Danio rerio: one gene and its partners. The protein of the gene in region 1 purifies or fractionates together with the protein of each later gene. This does not show direct contact. Links are inferred from orthologs where the notes say so. Each region holds a gene or a part of one and is shown in the gene's direction. Other genes may lie near its edges. The genes, in order: utp4, wdr75 and utp15.

Region 1 (5,377 bases):
GACTTTTATATTTAGAAACTTAGACTTTACTATAGCATTTTCATACTGTTACTCTGATGATTTGAAGTGCTTTTTTTTTAATCCTCACTTGTAAGTCGCTTTCGATAAAAGGATCTGCTAAATGAGTGAATGTAAAAGTTTTTTGACCAACAGTTTGTTAAAGGTGTGTTTCCTTTGTCCACAGATCATCCCGGGCAGAGAGCAGGCTGGGATTGAAGGCCTTACCTGGGTTGGGGAGCGTCTGTTTAGTGCAGGACTGAATGGTGTGATAACAGAGTATGATCTTACAAACCAGAGGGTGAAATACACCATAGATGCGTATGGAGGGCCAATCTGGGCCATAACAGGCAATCAACAAGGAACACACTTGGCGGTAAGTTTGGTTTGTTTACTACGATCATGTATTCAATAATTCAAAAACATTAGACCCCATCTTCTGTGACACTTAATGTATGAATTCCATTGTATTACATAATGAATTTTGCTGACAGTTATTGAACTAATTTAAATCTGCAGTGGATTTACTCATGTTGAACAGCACTGTTGTCACTTGTAGGGCTAGTTATAGTAAAACTGACCAATTTTTGTACTTTTAAAGGGATAATTTCCCAAAAAGATAAAAATTCTGTCATAATTTACATTTTACTCGTAACAAACCACTTTTACTTTCTTTTGTTGAACACAAAAAGCTATTTTTAGGGAAGCTGGAAGCCTTTAACCATTGAACTCATAGGATTGTTTTTTTTCCTACTATGGAAGTCTGTGGTTACTGGCTTTCAGAATTTTTGTAAATATATTTTGTGTTCAACAGAATAAAGAAACGTATAAAAGTTTGTAATCACTTGAGCGTGAGTAAATTCAATTTTTTGGGTGAGCTAGATATTGAACATGGATATGTCAACGATGGCAATGTTTGCAAGAATTTAAATTTGTATTATTGATATACTGGGCTTGATTCACAGGATGTGACAGTATTATTATTTTAAACAGATGGAAAGGAAGCAGTAGTTTAATTATACAAATGTTACATATATTGTTAATTTGCTCATAAATTTAAGTTTGCAGCACTGGAGGGAAACCGTTTGTGTGGAATAAGGATATTTGTCAAAGAATCATCGATAAAGCTATATGTAAACAAACAAATAAAGATAATTTATTTTACAGAAAGATACCATAAGTAAAACTTTTGAAGTTTTTAAATCTTTATGTTTGCAGGTTGGTTGTGAAGATGGAACTGTGAAACTATTTGAGGTGACTGAAGACAAAATACAGTTTGAGAGAAATCTGGACAGACAGAAAGGTGAGATTGTTGTTCAGCCTCTGTTTTTCAGCCTCTGTTTCCACCTGCCATTATTGTCATTGTGTTCAGATGGGTTTCTTGTATGTTAGATTTCTTAGATTTTTCACCTTTCTCTCTGTTGAATGAACTATGTAATATGTTTTTGGGCGAGCAGAAATTTAAGTAAATTAAAATGATGTGCATGGCAACTACAATTTCAATTGTAATCTATGCAGTGTGGTGCAATAGAGCGAAGCTTGAGTAGCTTGTTTTGTTTATTTTTGGTGAATTTTGTATTAATCGTGATAAGTCAGTAGGCAAAGAGTTAGGTAGTCTATTGTGGCAAGTTTAAAATTCTATTGAATTCAAGTGTAATTGTAAACAATTAAATTTATTTTAACCACCTCTAAAAGTGCTTGAAAGTGAGTGAGTTTTGTATTTAACAGCTTTCATATAAAAACAACAATCTGATTGATGACAAAAAAACAGCTTAACATTAAGGCTGATTTATACTTCTGCGTCAAACGGCGCTGACGCATAGCCCTTCGCCATGGCCGTCGGCGTCGCTGACGTGCACCTCTCAAAAATTGTAACTACACGTTGCAACGGCGCGTAGCGCAAGCTCTGTGATTGGTCGGCTTGGTAGCGCTGACGAGTCTGGGCGGGACCAAGAGCCGCGCGAATGGCGCAAGCAGGACGCGAGCACAATGGAGCGATTGTTTACAACTGTGGAATCCTGTGAAGGAGCTCCAGATGGAAAGTTTTGTTTTGTGTTTACCTCATAGTTAAAGTTGTTGCACGTCCGCCAGTTCCTGCCTCACAATGAGCGAGTTTGAGCCACTTGTACATCCAGGAAGTGTTCAGGAAAAGCAAAACAGCAGAGAAGAAACTCGACACAGAGGAACATTAACACCTCACTGCCCACTAGCGTTTCGGAAGTGTTAATTCAGACCAACAGAGACAGCGCGCAGAAGTATAAATGCACAGCTACGCGCGTTGCATGCGCCGTGGGTCACGCCGGTCACTTGACGCAGAAGTGTAAACCAGGCTTTAGGTGTAAATGGAACATAAGGTACCTTATAGTCATTTACAGTCATTTTTTTCTGTGCTTATTGCTCAAAGCTTAAAGTGTATGTACATATCTTCATTTTTCTTGTTATTTATACATTATTTACTCTTGTAGTTACAGTAAATGCTATTTATAATGTGCAAAATGCCATAGTTGAATGCAGTTTAACCTTAAAACAGAAAAACTGCATTTTAGAACAATATCTGATTACTCTATTACAGGCCGGATTATATCTCTATCCTGGCACCCTTCAGGGTCCAAAATAGCAGCGGGAATGATGGATATGATCCAAGTTTTCAATGTGGAGACAGGTAAAAAGCATGGCTCTATTATTGAATATGTTGCATAAACTTGTGAGTGATGATGTCATCCAAAGTTTGATTGAATTTTAGGCCACTCTAAACATCGGATATTGGTGGACAGAGGGTACGGGACGTCCCGCGGTAAGGAGTGTGTAGTGTGGAGTGTGGTCTACCTTTCAGATGGGACCATCATCAGCGGAGACTCTGTGGGAATGGTGAAAATGTGGAGGGATGACACTGGTACACTGATCAAAAGCCACAATATTACAAAATCGGATGTGCTTTCGTTATCAGTGTCTCAGGTGAGAACATGGCTGCATGTTGATGTTACAGTATCACATTTATGACTTCAAATAGTACTTACCAAAAGTTTGAGATCGGTAAGATTTGAACTTAAAATAAATTAATTAAATAATAAAAAATATATAATGTTAATAAGAAAAAAAAATTATATTCCACAAAATAGTTCAATTAGTTTTATTGCTGAAATTTTATTAGAATTTATAACAACTTTTTCAAAATTATTTTAACATTTGCAAATGTAATATTTTGGTTTTAATGGAAAATCTTCTTTACTAAAGTCTTCAGTGTGACATAATCAATACAATTATTGGTTGTTAATTTAAAAAATGTTAAAATACAGTGTGATTTAATATTTTTGTGGGAAATTGGATCCAACTTTTTTGGGTTTAGGTGATGGGGAGGGGGGGGTGAAAATCTTTTATGAAAAGTAAATGAAAATAAAAAGCTTCATTTATTTCATAGAATTTATCAAATGAATCATTCTTGCTAAATAAAAGTTAAAATTTCTTTCAAAACACACCTTACTGATCACAACCTTTTGAAAAGTAGTATACGTGTACATTTTTGTTCAGTTTTACCTGACATGCTTTGGGAATACAGACAGAAAGCTGATTATTGTACCCTCTTGAATGACAGAATGAGGACAGTATCGTGGCTGGGACGTCAGAAGGATTTGTGGTGCAGTTCCAGTTTCTTTCTATGGTTTTGGAAAATAATGAGAAAGATTGGGTCAGAACCAGAACATTCAGGAACCACACACATGATGTTCGAGCTGTGGCTGAGATCACAACAGCTGTGGTTTCAGGAGGCGAGTTAATTTTTTTCATTTAATAGTTAAAACAGTCAATCTATCAGTTTTGTTTCAGATTCTGAAATGAGCAAATGCATTGTTCTCTTCTCAGGTATGGACACACAGTTGGTTGTGAGACCTTTGTTAGACAAGCATGAAGTGAAGTCATCAGCCTCTAAGCTGCGGAAGATTCAGTTTCCACATGTGAGTATTGTGCATTTGTGTTTTTTTCACATAGAAATGTTTGTAAATGACTCTTAATGTGAGGCTTTTTGTTCTGCCCTGTTGCATTAAAGAGGAGTTTGGTGTCCTGTGCAAGGAAGGCAGGCACGTTACTGTTCCAGTACCCTGGTCATTTGGAGCTCTGGAGACTTGGGGAGAGCGAAGGAGAAGGTGAAGATCATATTCAGTGCCATAGCAGATATCGAATACCTGGGAGACCCTAAGGGCTCTATTTTAAAGATCTAAGCGCAAAGTCTAAAGTGCATGGCGCAAAAGCATTAATTGTGTGTCTGAATTCACTTTTGTCTATTTTAAGGATGGAAAAATATGGTCTGTGCCCTGGTGCATCGTCTAAAAGGGTCATGTTTATTCTCTTAATGAGTTCTGGGTGTGTTTTGAGCATAACATGCATTAAACAATCAGAGTCTCATCTCCCATTCCATAAGAGTCAGTTGTGTCGCACAATGGTGCATTTGCTATTCACATAGCTGTGTTTTTAAGTGGAAAAGCTGAATGCTTCACTAGCGAAAAAACAGTTAAACAGATGATCTGCAGCGCATTATAAAGAACGAGCCTCCTCCATTCTGCCTCTTTTCTCGCCACTCCACTCATTCCACTGAAGACATCCATTAGCCTACTTATTTAATTTTATTTGTTAAGTGCAAAGATTTGTTTCAAAACTGTTTTTAAATTCAGTTCTAATTTCCAGCAAACAAATAAATGAACAATAATAACAAAGCGTGGTCAAAAAACTATTAGTTTTTGGAGTTCTATGCAAAGACGGGACTTATCGTTACTCCCCAAAACCGCACAGGTTGACAAATCTAAACTTGTTTTTATTAAAACTAAAATAAATATGCATATAATAAATAATACTGCTAATAATAATATTATACAAATGCAAATTGTCATGAATAAACTGAAAAAAGCCCCTCGAGATGAAGGCTTGGATCTAGTGGTTTTTACATTAATGTAGAAAATGCAAATTTTTATAACCTTTTAATCCTTTAGTTTTTTTTTTTTTATATGTAAAGATATTTGTGTATTGCTGTACATCCTGTGTGTATTAAGCAATGTGTTAGTGTTTGGACCCATATAGGCGCATAACTAATGCTCTCTGTGCTGGACTTTAGACCAGCTTTTAGTTGGTCAATGGTGCGGTCTATTTCAGTTCTTCAAAATAGCAACACACCAAGAATGCGCCTTAACACACCTTTATTTTAGACCGACACATCTATAAGTGCACAAAGTGGTGCAAATTAATTTGCTATTTAAACATCATGGTGCAAACATAAAAATTACTGTTGCTCTGGTCTGAAAACAGCAACAAATTGCGCCATACATGTCTTGTGCCTATTTCGCAGTGTATGATAGGGCTCCTAGTCATTCTCTACCATAATTCACAATAGAGG
Region 2 (5,377 bases), on another chromosome or scaffold:
CGTGCATCAGAGCGGGCTTCACCAACGTTGTAGAGCAAACTGAAGATGCGCTGACCTTCTGCTTGCATTAAGAAAACGGTCAGTTTACTGTTAGCAAAGACCTTTGAAGAAATGATGCCATCCATAATCCTGGACTAAGTTGTATCTTGAGCTGATGCTGTGGTGGTCATAGAAGAGTGAAGAGCATGAGACTCTGAAAGAGCCCTGTGACAGACTCCGCTTGATCCTGTGGGCCAGCCTGAACTCACCTGCGGCTCTCCACAGTGGACGTCCAGCGTTCTCCAGCCTCTGCTGCCTAGACTGCCTAGATCTTTGCACAAGAATTGTCCAGAGGAGAAATGGTCGTGCCTAACTGAGCCTGGTTTCTCTCCAGGTTTTTTTCCTCCACTTCGTCAATTGGTGAAGTTTGTTCCTCACTAATGGCTTGCTTGGTTTGGGACATCGGTGGATTTGCTCTTCAGTGTTTGGACTTTCAGCAGGGAAATTTAAACCACACTGAACTGAACTTCAACTCTAAAAACTGGACTGACCCAGTTTCAATTTACTAGAAAGTCTATGTTAAGCTGCTTTGACACAATCTACGTTGTAAAAGTGCTATAGAAATAAACATGAATTTAATTTATTTAAAACCCACATCAGGCAAGTCTGATGTATGGGAGTCTTTTTGATGTTTCATAGATGCAAATGGAAAAATTCACCCTTTGCACGATGTGATAATACCTCACAGTTTTACCCTTTAAAAATCACAAGACTGGAACCTCAGGTTTAAGGCCGCTTTGTAATGAGACTCATGAAACTAAACGGACATTTACCCTACTATCCTTGCACAATCCAAAGTTTTATCTGTTATCTCTTTCTTTTGGTAGTACCCAGTTTTATCGTGAGAGTTTGGAAACCGGATGTAAATTTAGCAAGAACGGTCAGGTCTAGTAGAAAATTATTCTAGGCTGGCAGCAGTTGAATAAAGACTGAATATACAGCTGGAGCGGTCGGGTGTGGAATAAAACCTCTCAGGAGCAGGACTAAAAAATCCTGCACAGACCTCTACTCTAAAGTTGAAATCACTTTTATGAGCCTATTAAGTTTTCTTAGCAGACTGATTATGATTAATCTAAGCATTTAATGGCTAATGCCAATATATTATGGATCACTGGAAATAATATGACAGTGAGTTAATGATGCTAGGACTATTATTTAAGGTGAAGCACTATTTTCTGTGGGTAACCAAGTAAGTTTATGTCTGGTTTTATTCACTGTTTGGTTTCATCTCGGTGGTTCACAGTGGAATGGAGCACATCTGTGGATGTTTCCAGGCTGCAGTCGGACCCTTTGTCAGAAAATGTGGCCGCTTTTTCATTCGAGTCTAAACACACACACCGTAAGTGTTTAAAGGTCATCACCTACATCTCTTTAGTGTTTGGTTAGAAGTAATGTGTGTTTTTTTTTTTTTTATTGGTGCTCTTTTGGAAATCTCTTTTTGTCACTTTATAATTCAGTAAAAATAAAATATAAAATCAATAATGTGTTGTACAATTAGCTAAAATTTAAATGAACAATGTTGTGTCATAACCTTCAAAATATAGATGATGAAACTGCAAACCTTTAATAAAATGTATTGTAATAATTTAGGATACAAAAATACAGACACAATTTGATAAAGTGTGACAAATGAAACGCATTAAAGTGCATTATGGATGTTTTCTTTGCATTAGACTGAAAATGGCAGAAATCTGAAAATTGACAAGAGCATAAACGCCTTTAATTGATCACAAGCTGCTGTTTAATGTCTTCTCTGGTGTGTGTTCAGTGTTTGTGTTCAAGCCCAGCGAGCCACGGCCTTTGTTCAGCCAGAGATACGTGTGTCTAGAAAGGGTGGATCGAGCCGTGTTTGTTCCTCGAGAAGAGCCGTTCAACAGTTGTGATGAAAGCTGTCAGTGGCTCAACAGATCTCAGCTCTACTTCCTCACACACAACATGGTACTTCAGTCATACCTAGAGTCAAAACATGTCCTTTTTTTTTATTATTAAGCTGATACTTGGATAACAATAAGTGCATGGCGTAAAATATATAGTATAATCTGCTGGTTTTAAACATACAGTATAATAATGGAATACAGATATTTAAGCAGCTATAACATTACAATTATCCCAACAAACAAAAAATATGCTAATTAATAATAGAAGAATATAAATAAAAAATAGGGGGGTTTCATTTACAAAGAAGGTAAGAAGGGGTCTCGACATTAAAAAACACAGGGTTGCACATTTTATAAAGTGTGTGTGTGTGTGTGTGTGTGTGTGTGTATGCATGTATATGTATATAAATTATGAGTTCAGATGCAAAACCCTCTAAATCCATTAGACCTTTTTTCTTGTAAATGGGCATTTTCTATCAGGCTCCTATAATTAGGCTCAGAAGTTTCATTTTATAGATAATGAAAGTTATTAGTTGGGATATACAAATAGCTCTTTTTTTTCAAAAAATGTCCCTTTAGACAATTCTTTGGTTTTTAACAAGGTACATTTTCTTTTGTGTCAAATCCAGCTAAATCCACGTCTGCTTTTATTGCATAACCTCTAAATCCATCTATTGGGACAATCTGTGCAATCAGTTGAAAAATCACAAGATGCAAGTATAAATTATTTTACTAAACATAAAACACATTACAAAGACCATCTAAAACTTAAAATATATAAATCTGTCAAGTGTGTGGCGGTTCATTTCGCTGTGGTAACCTATGATAAACCAGAGACTAAAGGAAAATAAATGAATCAAAACAATAACATTAAAATAAACATTAATTAAATCCTAACTATCTGTTGTTGTTGTTTTTTTTTTTATTATTATTTATTTTATTTATTTTATTGTAAGTAGAGCGATGTAAACATTGCAAATATTTTACACTAAGCTTGTTAGATTCAAATTATGTAAACACATTGTGAAACATTGATATCTGTGCGTTGTCCTTTAATATAAAAAGCTTGTTTGGCGTTTATGTAGTATGAAGTAATACAAAAAAGTATAGTTTCATACATTATATTTGTCTTTAAAAAAAAATAGCTTATATTAGAACATAAAACACATGGTAGGCCTACTGAGCAAACAGGGGATGCCTCTCAGACACTATTTGAAGCTGTCATTCGTTCTCACCATAATCACTGTCTTGGTCTCCTTTTCATCTCGTTTATCCTCATGGCATCCATGTGGGATAAAAGAACAGCCTCTTAACTCTGTCTTTTATGAAATGCAGTTCATTCAAAGTAGTATCGCTGCGCAAAAAACTTTATGAATGCAAGCTACACTTCTGACTGTACATTATGTTTTCTTTTTCTTAAAATGCACAGAGTTTTGAGGTAAGAGACGTTTTCATTTGCCATTCACTGACAGTTGGAGAGGCTCATCCAGTTCATCAAGCTCTGTTATTTAGAATCTTAATCGGAAGCTAAATAAAACACTCTCCTCATAAAGCCGGCGTATCAGCACGCTGCTGCATTGAAAACGTGATTTGATTCGCACCTTCTATGGTTCTTGAGATGTAGCGGCTTTTGCTGTCAAAGGCAGGTGGTGTAAACAAACTGTTACTTCTGAATGCGCTGATGCTGCGATTTAGATGATTTCAAGCAAAACTATTTGTTGAACATGTACTACGTGCCTAAAGCATTCACTCAATGTCATAAGCTCATTTTTGGCAGAAGTGGCGTTTAATACAGAAAATATATAATTTGCTAGGAAATGCTTTGCTATGAGTGCGAACCCCCCTCCTCCCCTTATTTATATTTATTTATATTTGTTATTTTTATTATTACTTATTTTTTCAATATATGTACATGTATATGTATATTATATATGTGAAATATTTTGTTTGGACCGCACATTACAGATTGTAAAAGACTAAATCATGTGGACTTGAAGGAAACTATGTTGGTGTTTATGCTTATAATACAGTACCTTTTACGGGCGGGTTGGAGTGGGGGGCTAATGGGAGAGTAACCTGTACTATAAAAACGACTGTATAAGAAGAATGTAATAGTTGTATGTGATGCCTCTGGTTATCTGTTTGTTCCGTTATGTTAAAACGAATAAAAAACAAAAGTAAAAAAAAAAAAAGAAGTGGCCTTAAGCGGCTTTTGCGTCTGAACTCTTCATATAAATAAATATATATATGGCTTATTTTATATAATGTGGAACCCTGTGTTTTCTTTTGTCAAGTAAAATATACAAATTTGTATTGTAATTGCATATAATTATTATAATTATTTCTCTATGAAATATTACTCATAATTAATACTGTTAATACTAAATACTCACATTCTGGCTAAAATGGTCTGTGTTCAATTTATTAGGATTTGTTGACCTTCAGCTCAGCAACAGAAGAGGACAGAATGTTGTCTTCTAGTAAGCGGGTATGGACTTTTGTTGTTGTTTTTAACCTTACACCTCCATTCTGCTCATTAATTGTGAATGGCTCTAAGAGTAACTGTGTCTCTCCTTGGTGCAGCTTGTGATTGATGAGAGTGTTGCTGTAACACCGTTTTACCTGCTGTTGGGCAGACACCGGAAACAGCAGCACAAACTCAACACAGAGACTCAAGAACCAGCAGACAAACCTCAACACACACAGGGATCGGTCACCATCAAACAGGCAAGTCCATTTTATTGCCATTATAAGGGGGATTATTCTGCAAAACATCTATATAAATTGATTAAAGGAGACAGTAAAGGCTTTCTGAGTGTTACAAAAGTGTTTAAAAAAAAGATTTTCTATGTAACTCTCTATTCATCACAAAACATGACAAAAAAGTATTACAATTGCTTTAAAATTAGGCCAAACTTGTTTCTTGAGCATCAGATCAGCATTTTAAAACGACTTCTAAAGGACTGCATAACTGACTGGAGCGATGATGCTAAAAAAATTCAGCTTTGACATCATAGGAAAACATACAATGGGCTACAGCGCTAGAAGAACACAGCGGGTGCCACACCAGTCAGCTAAAAACCGAAAAACTGAGGCTACCATTCGCACAGGCTCGCCCAAATTGTACTAGAAGATTGGAGAAACATTGCCTGGTCTGATGAGTCTCAGTTTCTGCTGCGACATTCGGATGGTAGGGTCAGAATTTGACATCAGCAACATGAAAGCATGGATCCATCCTGCCTTGTATTAAGAATTCAGGCTGGTGGTGGTTGTGTAATGGTGTGGGGGATATTTTCTTTGCACACTTTGGGCCCAGTAGTACCAATTGAGCATCGTGTCAACGCCACAGCCTACCTGAGTATTGTTGCTGACCCTGTTCATCCCTTTATGACCACAGTGTACCCATCTTCTGATGGCTACTTCCAGCAGGATGAGCGCACTGGTGCCTTTGTCCTGTGGCT
Region 3 (5,377 bases), about 7.8 Mb from region 1:
AGGCACGTCAAAGTATATAACTCATCCTATAAGGTTGTGCATAATTTTGACTGTGCGTCATCTATTCTCAGTCTGGCTGTTGCGGTACGTTTAGCTCATTACACTGAAGGAAATGTTTGCATATAATAATATAAGTGTTATTTCCACTTGCTCTTGGTGTAAGGTGTTGTTTATTGTGGTTTTTCCTCTAGCCTGATGATGAAGCAGTCGCTGTAGGAATGACCAATGGTGTGTTGAGCATCAGACACAGGAAACACAAAGAAGAGAAAGAAGCTTTAACAGGTCGAAGGAAACGCGGTCCGTCGTACCGCTTCTTTGTTAAGGGGAAAAACTTTGTGCCTAGACAGGTATTATATTTGCATTAATAATTTTTTCTCACTTTAACTTGAGTTTAAGAAATATAAGTTCAAAATATTATATTATATGATGCATGTATTACAAAATATATTATTTACACTCACCGGCCACTTTATTCGGTACACCTGTCCAACTGCTAGTTAACTCAAATTTCTAATCAGCCAATCACATGGCAGCAACTCAATGCATTTAGGCATGTAGACATGATCAAGACGACCTGCTGCAGTTTAAACCGAGCATCAAAATGGGGGAGAAAGGTGATTTAATTGACTTTGAATGTGGCATGGTTGGTGGTGGCAGACGGGCTGGTCTGAGTATTTCAGAAACTGCTGATCTACTGGGATTTTCATGCACAACCATATCTAGGGTTTACAGAGAATGATCAGAAAAAGAGAAAATATCCAGTGAGCGCCAGTTCTGTGGGTGCAAATGCATTGTTGATGCCAGAGGTCAGAGGAGAATGGCCAGACTGGTTCCAGCTGATAGGAAGGCAACAGTAACTCAAAAAAAATTCACTCATTACAACCGAGGTATTCAGAAGAACATCTCTGAATGCACAACACTGGGTGCCACTTCTGCCAGCTAAGAACAGGAAACTGAGGCTACAATTCACACAGGCTCACCAAAATTAGACAAAAGAAGATTGGAGAAACATTGCCTGGTCTGATGAGTCTCTATTTCTGCTGTGACATTCGGATGGTAGGGTCAGAATTTGGCATCAACAACATGAAAGCATGGATCCATCCTGCCTTGTATCAGTGGTTCAGGCTGCTGGTGGTGGTGTGATTGTGTAGGGGATATTTTTCTTGACACACTTTGGGCCCATTAGTACCAATTAAACATTGTGTCAACGCCACAGCCTACCTGAATAATGTTGCTGACCATGTCCATCCCTTTATAACCACAGTGTACCTATCTTCTGATGGCTATTTCCAGCAGGATAACACACCATGTCATAAAGCACGAATGATCTCATACTGGTTTCCTGGACATGATGATGAGTTCACTGTACACAGTCACCAGAGCTCAATCCAATAGAGCATCTTTGGGATGTGGTGGAACGGGAGATTCGCATCATGGATGTGCAGCCGACAAATCTGCAGCAACTGCGTGATGCTATCATCTCAATATGGACCAAAATCTCTGAGGAATATTTCCAGTATCTAGTTGAATCTATGCCATGATTAAGGGAATTCAGGAGGCAAAAGGGGGTCCAACCCCTTGTATTAGTAAGGTTGAAATTAGTAAAGTGGCCAGTGAGTGTATGCTTTTTAGGGGAAAAAATTATATTTTATAATTGAAAATTTTTTTAGATAAACATTTTACTTTTTTTTTTTTAATTACTAAATCAATTTTCTTAAGGCTTGTTTACACCAACAAATAAAACAAGAAACATATTAAATTTATATTATCATCTACACTAACTCTATTCTCATCTCTTTTAGGATGATTTCCTGGTCAGTAAACCAGTGAGGCAGCATCTACAGAAATACGACAAACAGCTGAAAAGATTTGAGGTCTCCAAAGCCCTGGACACTGCGCTTGAGGTGAACATGAAGCTTTATATACAATAATATCTAAAAAAAAAAAAAAGTACATAAAGTTGCAGTCAGAATGATTCGCCCCCTGTGAATTGTTTTTCTTTTTTAAATATTTTGCAAATGATGTTTGACAGAGCAAGGAGATTTTCACAGTATGTCTGATAATATTTTTCTTCTGGAGAAAGTTTTATTTGTTTTTTTCAGCTAGAATAAAAGCAGTTTTTAATTTATTAACAAACATTTTAAGGTCAATATTATTAGCCCCCTCGAGCAATATTGTTTTTTGATTGTCTACAGGACAAACCATCGTTATACAATGATTTGCCTAATTACCCTAACCTGCTTAATTAACCTAGTTAAGCCTTTAAATGTCACTTTAAGCTTAATACTAGTATCTTGAAAAACATCTAGTCAAATAATATGTACTGTCATCATGGCAAAGATAAAATAAATCAGTTATTAGAAATGAGGTATTAAAACTATTACGTTTAGAAATGTGTTGAAAAAAATCTTCTCTCTGTTAAACAGAAATTGAGGAACAAAATGTACGGGGGGCTAATAATTGTGACCAAATGTGCTTATTTGGTTTGATTACTCAGATGAAGATATCAGTGTATGTTTTTGTGTTTTCGCAGACATGGACGCGAACTACTAAACCAGAGGTGACGGTCGCAGTAATAATGGAGCTGAACCGCAGAGGAACACTGAAAAACGCCCTCGCTGGGCGAGATGAAGTGAGCTTAACCAAGATACTCAACTTTCTTCTCAAGTGAGTATCACACACACACACACACACACACTTCTATATGTGGTTTACAAGGATTCTTCATAGGCATAACAGAAAGAAGGTTTTTGTCAACACTTTTCTTAACATAATAGTTTTAACTTATTTCTAATAACTGATTTCTTTTATCTTTGCCATGATGACAGTACATTAATATTATACTAGATGTTTTTCAAGATACTAGTATTAAACTTAAAGTGACATTAAAAGACTTAACTAGGTTAATTAAACAAGTTATTGTTTAACGGTGGTTTGCTTTGTAGACAATTACAAAAATGTAGCTTAAAGAGGCTAATAATATTGACCTTAAAATGGTTTTAAAAATATTAAAAACTGTTTTAATTCTTGCCAAAATTAAACAATTAAGACTTTCTCTAGAAGAAAAAATATTATCAGACATACTGTGAAAATTTCCTTGCTCTGTTAAACATCATTTGGGAAATATTTAAAAAAGGAAAAAAATTCACTGAAAGTCTTACCATTCTGACTTTAATTGTATGTATACACACACACACACACACACACACACGCATTACTTCAGACTTCAGAGTCTTGCGAACATTATACTCACTACAATCAGCTTCCTCCATTATGCGTGGCTTGTTTACTGTTGGTTGCTAGGTTACCATACTAAAGTTACCATACTACATACTACTTGATAGGTTACCATATTACAGTCAGCCACTCTAATGCTGCGTTCACACCAGACACGGAGGAGTTAATGAGCTCACAGGGCTGGGTGCACCTCTGAATGGATCTAGTAAACTCCGACACGGCTCCAAATGAATTGATGCTGTTTATCCGCCTTCCTAAAGCACATAAACACAGCTACTCTCTCATTAAAATCAATGTTCGCCATTTAGCAACTAAGCTACAGTCACCGGGCAGACAGATGCTCCGCCCAAGTTATATTGCTCAGTGAATTTGACGCACGAATGAAATGGATTTGACGCGTGAATAAATCAAGTAAACTCAATGTTTACGCGCAAATTGACAATTTATCCACCCATACCACGTATTCTAGTGTGAACATAGCATAACTTGATTGAAGCGTCTAATTCAAGATATTTCTTCTTTTTGTTTTCTCTCATTGGCCAGATGTTATTGAACATATTTCCTAAACTGCTTATTGATTTGTTAGATTTCATGTGCGGGAAAATGCCAATGAACTCCCGCCAGTAAACAAAACCGGCGGACACTAAATGTCGTTTCTACTCTGGAGGGACGACTGCGCTGACTGATTGCATCCCTGCTTTAGACAAACTATACATTTTGAGAATGAAGCGCGGCTGCGGCTTGAAAACAGTGTTTTAATGCATCGCTCGTCACTTCAGGAGGAGGCGTGAGTTAATTTAGCTAAACTGCGACATGGTCATCTTGCGTAAATAATACCAATGATCCATCAGGTAATGTTTTCCCCTCTCTCTCTCTCTGTTGGTAAAGCGCTGTCAACAAATATTTTTCCTCCATATCCCATAATGCACAGCGCATCGGTCTACGGCAGCTGGATTAGTGCAAAAGGCGCAGTACTTTTTGCCTTGTCCAGATGTTCTGTGAAATGCAGGATGTTCAATTCTTGTGACAAAACCAGAACTTCTTAGAAAGATCAAAGCAGAGGGAAATTCTGAGGCGGTTCTCAAATCTGTGAACTGCTTCACACAACAGAAGAAAACCACCATTGTCACCAGTGTCCTGAACACATTTATGCCATTTAAAGTACCTAAAGTAAAGTTTCAAGTACCTGTCAGTTTTGATTTCTTTGGGAGTTTTTTCTTCAATCTATTATAAAGAAAACATTTAAATGACACTTTTAAGAGTTTCTTTTGTCACACTTTTTATTAATTTGTGTCTGTAGATTTCAATTACAATACACATTTTAAAAGCTAGTTTTTGAAAAAGATCTTTTTTTGGTCACTTTATTTTAAGCTACAATTTTTGCCATTTCCAAACCATTAACTATGATTTTTATGTAAGTAAACTACTAATTTGCTGCCTATTAATTGTTGGCAAGGTAGTAGTTGGGTTTAGGTATTGGTAGGATTAGGGAATCGGGATGTAGAATAAGATCATAATCTTAATGACTGGCAGCTAGCTCTCTGCAACTCATGGTCGCCCACTGAAACCAAGTAGGGCTGCGTCCTGGATGGGAGACCACATGGGAAAGTTAGGGGGGTGCTTTCACTCTTTGTTCAATTGCCTGCACTGTACCCAAGTTCGATTGTCTCCCCTTGCCACCTTCTCGGTTGGTTTGTGTTCACACCGTCTTTTTTCCTTCTGAAGCCCGGTACGCTTGCGTCATCAAACTGCTGTTTTGTTTACGGCCATTGCTAAGTGACAGTCACGAAAGCAAACCGATGAAATGGGAAGATATCCGCACATCGCGGTCATTCTGCTTCAACTGAAACTTTTGGTTTTGAACATAGAGACAGTGACTCGCGTCCATCTGCTGCAAAAATTTTATAAACATTCAGAACATCACAGAAGCTGCAGAAACGTTTTTGGAGGAGACAAGCACACACTGTGTATTACTGTATTTGCCCTGGCTCAGTCCGCACGTGTCGCCAAGGTACGAAACGTGACACAGACACACGCACACACAAACGAACGTTATGAAAACCATAGTTTGTTGTACAGTTGGCGGTGCACCTGAGTTCAGAACACACGTTCACACTAGCTAAACGTACCGCACTATGAC

What was found.
Region 2: the proteins of utp4 (region 1) and wdr75 purify together in Homo sapiens (co-immunoprecipitation; 3 studies listed by BioGRID and IntAct, counting the BioPlex papers as one, with this or other methods). This does not show direct contact. The link is inferred for Danio rerio from reciprocal best matches to the Homo sapiens genes UTP4 and WDR75.
Region 3: the proteins of utp4 (region 1) and utp15 purify together in Homo sapiens (co-immunoprecipitation; 4 studies listed by BioGRID and IntAct, counting the BioPlex papers as one, with this or other methods). This does not show direct contact. The link is inferred for Danio rerio from reciprocal best matches to the Homo sapiens genes UTP4 and UTP15.

What each region holds. Positions count from the first base shown.
Region 1 is NC_133193.1:15,974,034-15,979,410, forward strand, and holds part of utp4 (U3 small nucleolar RNA-associated protein 4 homolog), read left to right. Parts: intron 1-184; coding exon 185-373; intron 374-1,215; coding exon 1,216-1,300; intron 1,301-2,569; coding exon 2,570-2,659; intron 2,660-2,740; coding exon 2,741-2,952; intron 2,953-3,589; coding exon 3,590-3,761; intron 3,762-3,855; coding exon 3,856-3,947; intron 3,948-4,039; coding exon 4,040-4,136; intron 4,137-5,377. UniProt on the Homo sapiens protein: Ribosome biogenesis factor. Involved in nucleolar processing of pre-18S ribosomal RNA. Part of the small subunit (SSU) processome, first precursor of the small eukaryotic ribosomal subunit.
Region 2 is NC_133184.1:42,850,963-42,856,339, reverse strand, and holds part of wdr75 (WD repeat-containing protein 75), read left to right. Parts: exon of another isoform or gene 1-1,282; coding exon 1,283-1,378; intron 1,379-1,807; coding exon 1,808-1,977; intron 1,978-4,344; coding exon 4,345-4,404; intron 4,405-4,499; coding exon 4,500-4,643; exon of another isoform or gene 4,644-5,358; intron 5,359-5,377. UniProt on the Homo sapiens protein: Ribosome biogenesis factor. Part of the small subunit (SSU) processome, first precursor of the small eukaryotic ribosomal subunit.
Region 3 is NC_133193.1:8,205,836-8,211,212, reverse strand, and holds part of utp15 (U3 small nucleolar RNA-associated protein 15 homolog), read left to right. Parts: intron 1-2; coding exon 3-84; intron 85-191; coding exon 192-347; intron 348-1,802; coding exon 1,803-1,904; intron 1,905-2,533; coding exon 2,534-2,667; intron 2,668-5,377. UniProt on the Homo sapiens protein: Ribosome biogenesis factor. Involved in nucleolar processing of pre-18S ribosomal RNA. Required for optimal pre-ribosomal RNA transcription by RNA polymerase I.